Daphnia pulex: one gene and its partner. The protein of the gene in region 1 purifies or fractionates together with the protein of each later gene. This does not show direct contact. Links are inferred from orthologs where the notes say so. Each region holds a gene or a part of one and is shown on either strand. Other genes may lie near its edges.

Region 1 (3,838 bases):
GAAGGTCCAGTTAATAACGCCATTCTGTTTTCTTCTTAATTCCAAGGTCTGCCCATCCAGCCGTAATCCTCGATCCTGCGCTCCTGAAATGAAAGTTAAACCCGATTCAAATTTACAACCATAATTTTTCAATTAGATAATGTCCAATACAATTTCCTTTCCTTGATTGCAAAGATGGCGTATTGTCTTCTTATAATGTCGCAGTCTATATAAATGACGGAATAATAAATGTCAGGCTAATTCAAAGTGGCAACTGGAAAGCTTTCAGGTGAACTTGTTTTTACTTGCAGATTTGGTTTCGTCCCGCGGTCCGGGACCGTGACTTCCCTCACGTTCACCATCTAAATTTAGGTAAGTCATTCCGGTAATGAGGTAGTGGATTTAGTTTTCAAGTGTCCGAACGACAAAAATAGAGCCAGTCTTGTATGCGCATTCTGCGCGTGAGCGTCGACTTGATTCACGTCACGATCGACGCATTGCGGTGCGTAATGCGTCTCAGTGATTCTCGTCCCTGAATACTTGTGGCCATTCGTCTCGACTGCGTTGAAGCGCTGCTATGAATTTTGAAGACGTTATCAGATTGAACAATGTTTTCATCTTAATCAAGGTCCGATCAAATGTCCGTAATACGTGCCAAATATTAGCTCGCCATTTGAAGGCTGACGCACGCCGTGCAATTTCCATTTGGTTTGTTGTTTGTTCCTAGATTAACTCCAACGATTGAGAAAAGAAAAAATTATGAAATCCAAAGAAATATCCATTGCCAAAAGTTACCTCATTATTCATTACGCTGTCCTTGGCTAAAAGTCACCATCTGCATACATAATTATGAAACACTTGATTGATGGAGCCCATGACCTCAAATAGTAGCCTCACATTTTGTTTTCGGGCAGTACACGCGAGTGTATTTATAAGCTTTTGTATTCATCATACAGCCATGCGACATAAACACCAATGCAATTAATTAACTGTTGTTGTAGACACGTCTCTCGCATTCCTTTAATCGCCACTTTTCTATAGCGCGGAAAGAACGGGTTGGGATATTCGGGAAAAGGGGCAGAATGGGGAGAGGGAGGTTTTGCAAAAATTTCTCCATTTCGAGAACATGGAAACGTCAACAAGGGCGAGGACATGAGAGAAAAAGAGTCAACGGGATTTTCCTTATACGGTAGAAAGAGGATATAGGGTAATAGGGTAATAAGAGGGTGTGCAATCATCATCATATTATAACTTTGTCGTCGTCGATCAATTCAACACAAGAAAGGGTAGAATGAAGAAAAGCCTGACCCTAAACTCTTTTTTTTTTTTTTCCTTTTAAATTTAAATTTTTTAACATTTTTTCCTCCCACCTCTTTTGTCTTTTTTTCCCCAGCAGCACACGCACAAGTAGGTAGTGGCTATACAACTGATACTGAAACAATTGTTTTATTTTTTGTTTTTCTTTTGTATGTAATAATATTGACCTACTCAGAACTGAAATTGCATTTTAAAATCATAAAAAAAAAAAAAATTTAACTCGGCATGACGCTGTGGGGGAGGGATGTGAATGAATAAGAAACGAAACCTATCAGAGAGAGAAAGAGAAAGAAAGGGAAAAGAGAGATAGCCAGAATGAAAGAGAATAAACGGGAATCAGGGATAGGGACATACACGTGAGACATATAGCACAGCTTCACTCAGTTACGCCAGACGAGGAGAGAGAGGGAGGGCAGCAGCGGGATAGAGAGAGAGAGAGAAAAAAAGGTGTCTATAAAGTTCCGAGTTTTGAACGTTTCGAAAGAAGAAATATACGTTTTTTTTTAAGAGCCATGATAGGAGGGATGTAAAGGAGCAGCATCGTAGTGCACACACGGTATGAGCACGCTGTCGACGAAATGAATAAAGAGGAAGAATCGGGGCTAGTGTGAACGAAAAGGGATATTTTGTCAAATTAATTGGCAACAGCAGCTTGTTGTGTGTGTTGTGAGAGGGTTGTTATGAAACCGCCCTCCTCCTAAAATGGGGGTGATGAGAGATTTTCTTGAGGGAGGACGAGGTGAAGCGGAGAAATTTTCCGCGCATCAGTCCACCTGGTGGCTTTCGAGCAGGTGATTTTGTTTTCTTCCTGTACAGTACAACAAACGGAGGGAAAGAGGATGGAGTGTCGTTGGGAAGGGAGAGAGAGAGGGGGGGGGGGATAAGGACGACACGATCTACAACACGTGAAATTTTCTTTTTTGTCTTTTTTTTTTGTTTTTTGCTTCCATTTTTGCTTGCAGAGGGACTCGCAATAAACTACACATCCTCTGCTAATCCGTCGATTTGGTATAAGGGGAGTCGAGAAGGAAAAAAAAAAAACAAACAAATGATGTGGGAAATAAACCATGGGAGGGACGTCCGCGATCCAGAACCTGAACCAAGGTAACCGGACCGTGTTATCTGGGACGTAGCTCCGGCGATGAATCCGAAAAGGAATATATTTCCCGCGCTCACAAAAGACTATGTCCTGAAAATCTAAGTTTTGCTTCTTGTTACAAATTACAATTCTTTAGCTGTTGCTGTTGGGAGGTTTCAAAAAAGAGTCTAGTCCTTCATTCCTTAATGGGGGGAGAGTTTTTCTTTTTCTTCCCGTCACCCACCCTTTTTTCCTCTTGTTTCGTTTTTTTCGTTTAACGCTTAATGAATGTTTCCATGGCAGCGGTTGCAATCGATAATTAAGACTTCTAGCTTTTAAAAACTTCCATTTAATTCAAAAAAAGAAAAAAAAAAGTTATCCCCTTTCTTCCTTGGTTCAGCTCCTGTTTCTGCCATGCATATAGGAGGAGACGATTGGGTGGTGGTTAAAGTCTTGTCTTTTAGTTTTTTTCTTCTTCTTTTTCTTTTTCGTGGATTCGATTCGATTCTTCTATGCAGTTCCGACGGCTCCAAGAGTCTCACCGGTCGAAGAGCAGACATCAGGAGGTGAATGAATGTGACCCCCTGCGGCCCCCGAAGCTCCTGCTGCAGAAGATCCTTCCGCTCCACCAGCCGAATTAGGAGACCCAGTGGCTGAAGAATCTTGAGAGGGAGATGTGGCGTTCATGACGCCCATCAGGCCGCTAGCGCCTCGCATGTGGGGCGGAATTAGCACGGCGTTCAGGGCCGGTTGAATCTTCAGTTCTGTAATGCATCACCATGTAGGCGAATACGAAAAAGGAGAAACAAGACAACAATAATTAGAAATCGCACAAAATGTTTTCAAAGACCCGTTAGGTTTTTCTTAATGCTGTTACCATGTTCAGTAAAGTTGAAGAGGACGGGCAATTCTCGCCCGTTGGGTAACCTCGTATGAGGGTCCCTAAGTTCTTCGAAAAAGGTGTGAGCGCACGCCTCTAAAGGCGAGATGCGCGCCGAGGGGGTGTATTCCAAGAGACGCGAGACTAAATCGATCGCTTCCAATGGCGTCCGAGCACGGAAGACCTGACGAAAACACAAATTCAAATTTATGAACCGATTGGTGAGATTACTAAAATCAGCGACACGTCTATTAACACCGGACATTTAAAAATTTTTAGAAATTTTTGCAGTACATTTTCATGATTAGATTTTTTTCTGTGTGTTTAGCGTTGTTTGAAAACCCTTTATTTTTGGAGAAAAAAAATGAAAATGAAATAAAAATCTGGATCTCTCCAATGGATCGTGGAACAAAAAAAAAACGGATGGAACATGGTACACACGTATGGTGAACACGCTAGTCTTCATGCACCAGGCATTCGCTCATTTGACTGTGTGTGTGTGTCGGCAGAGAGGGAGGGCTAGCAGCCAACGCACACAACACAAGCGATCGATAGTTATTTTTTTGTGTGTGTTTCCTATCCTA
Region 2 (2,517 bases), on another chromosome or scaffold:
ACCAATTTGATTAGAGTCTCCATGGCTTCTTCCTCTCGACGATGTTTGTCTTCAACTGACACACCACAGTGAGGAGTCAAATCACCAACAATGCTTTCTGCCATATCATGGACAAGACACATTTTAAGGCACCTGAACAGAATACATTTTGGAATTTACTGAAGATGAATAAAATAAGAGAATAAAAATACCTTTGAATATCAACATCTTTGGTTTCCAAAAGAAAAGTCAACATGGCCATTCGGTACCTACGTCAGTACAAAATAAAAAATATTATTGTGGATTTTAAATTTTTTATCTGATAATTGCCTACATGTGACCAGCCACAGTTTCACAATTAGGGATGTCCCTTATCACCCAGCCAGTTCTCGGAAGATGCTACGATACAAAAATAAAAACGAAATGCAAACGCCGGCATATTTTTGCACACAAAGAAGTAATTCATTCACCTTCAATCTTCCCATGAACTGGCAAAACTCAAGAACTTTAGAATTAACTGCTGTCATTTCTTAAATTATTTTTGTGCAAAAATCACAGAATATCTATTATAAATTTGTTCTTTCGTGTGCAGAGTTGGGCAGTGTTTAATCGGTTACCGGGCAGCCATCGGGGGAAGGGGGATAGGAATCAGATGATCAGTTGAAATAACGAGCTTAGAAATTCTATCGGTAGAGGGCCGACAAAAATAGCTTTTTATATGCTTTCTATATTGAGTTTATAATTGAATTTGTAAAAATATATATTTCGTAAGAAAAAAATCAAAAAGAAACCTGATTTAAATGCATTTTTTAACTAAATCTAGTACAAAGTGGTAATCAGCTGACCCCTAAAGGCATACTATTTACGTCGTCTGTTACTGTTTTGGAAATTTGGACTTTGGTTTAGTCTGGTTTCAGGTCTCTGGTGTTATTAACTGGTTCGCTCTGATTAGTGCCTTCTTTGTTGAGTGACGAGTGTCCACTCCCTAGTCCGTAATTCAATAAGTGGCATCAATCCTGTGCGATATCGTAAACCGTGCAGTACACATCCCTTGTTGAAAAAAAAGAGCTTTGTTGATTGTATACCGGACGAAGCGAAAGTACAAAAGGTAATTGAAACCGACTTATTTCTTCATTTATTTACTTTTCGTGACCATACAAATTCATATCACCAGTTAGTGATATGAGTGAATCTTAATTAGCCTTCAAACTTTAGAGTTTGAACAATAGTAGTTTGGTATGGATAACACAAAGCAAACAAACTTTGACTTTAGATATTAAATTAATATTTTCATCACTGTAGGACTCTCAATGGCTGGGCACGATTATGATGAACGAATTCTTAATGGTGAAGAATGGACAGTAGAAGCCCTTGCAGTAATACATGATGTCAAGGACCATGTATTGGAGATAGTTATTGCAGACAGATCTGTCAATAATGATCAATTAATTCACATGAATCTGACTACCAAAGAGAAACAACGTTATTGCATTGAACTGACTGCCCAAGGATTTCGAGTAGTTGGTTATGACTACAATCGAACAGATGTTTCATCTGATGACTACTTTGAAACACCATACGCTTTACTCGACAAACTTAGTCCTTTGTATCGACAAGCATTTGGAGATTCTCTAGTTTCTAAACTTTTGTTGCTACATTCGTCTCGAAGACATAGCATGGACAACGAACCACAGCTAGATGATTGACCATAACTTACCGATTTTGTGAAATTTTAAGAAATGAACCAAAAAAGAATGGACACCATTGTTAAAAGACAACCATCTGTGCAACATTTTTAAGTTAACTCCGGACCCTTAAGTAGTAGTACTTCGCTTCTTATTACAGACGAACAAACAAATATGTTCTTCATGCTTGTCCTCCTTCCTGTGTAATGTCTATGTCAAAACTGCTTCCGAATTCCTTTTCGGAATAGTTAATAAATTTAACGTCAGTCACTTTAAATAGAGTTATATGTAATGTCGTTTTATTGAAATTGTTACAGAATATATCTATATACACACACATAAACGTGTAAATTGAATTGTTCGTGTTTTGTTTTTTTCTCCGCACCTGCGCCTTTGAACCGGAATGCAATGCCTGCATAACATATATTGTGAATTTCATCGATTTTACTACCCTAGATTATTATTGACATTTCCGTTCAAGCATAATCGTTTGATATCGACCGTTGAAGGACAACATAACATGGAAGAGTGTAATTACTTTTTCTTAATGTAAACTTTCGAAATGACGATATCCCGCCATTTACAAACACCCATAAAAGATGTTGAGGATTTTTACCGATAGGTTCGCTACTTTCGCTCAACGACGGTTGCTATGTTTTGGTTTTGGCGGATTTGAAAATTGTGGAAGCTTAAAGCTCATCAGTGTGTGGAATTGAGGAATTCCTCCATGTGCATTTCCGATAAAGCATGTTTGCTTGTTTCGTGCATTGACATATTTACTACATAAGCATCTTTATTTTCATCAGAATAGCTTTATTGCATGTTTGGTTCGGATTTTTAGTATCGTAACCAT

The links.
Region 2: the proteins of glycogen synthase kinase-3 beta-like (region 1) and GSK3-beta interaction protein-like purify together in Drosophila melanogaster (affinity purification with mass spectrometry, with the first as the bait; 3 studies listed by BioGRID). This does not show direct contact. The link is inferred for Daphnia pulex from reciprocal best matches to the Drosophila melanogaster genes sgg and CG11523.

The regions. Positions count from the first base shown.
Region 1 is NC_060024.1:9,786,646-9,790,483, reverse strand, and holds part of glycogen synthase kinase-3 beta-like, read right to left. Parts: intron 3,439-3,838; coding exon 3,252-3,438; intron 3,139-3,251; coding exon 2,885-3,138; 3' UTR 67-2,884; coding exon of another isoform or gene 47-66; 3' UTR 1-46. Other genes in the region: beta-galactosidase-1-like protein 2, read left to right, coding at 47-66.
Region 2 is NC_060028.1:7,359,837-7,362,353, forward strand, and holds GSK3-beta interaction protein-like, read left to right. Parts: upstream 1-1,289; coding exon 1,290-1,685; downstream 1,686-2,517. Other genes in the region: 5'-deoxynucleotidase HDDC2-like, read right to left, coding at 1-132, 192-248, 314-378, 450-506; centrosomal protein of 135 kDa-like, read left to right, coding at 2,516-2,517.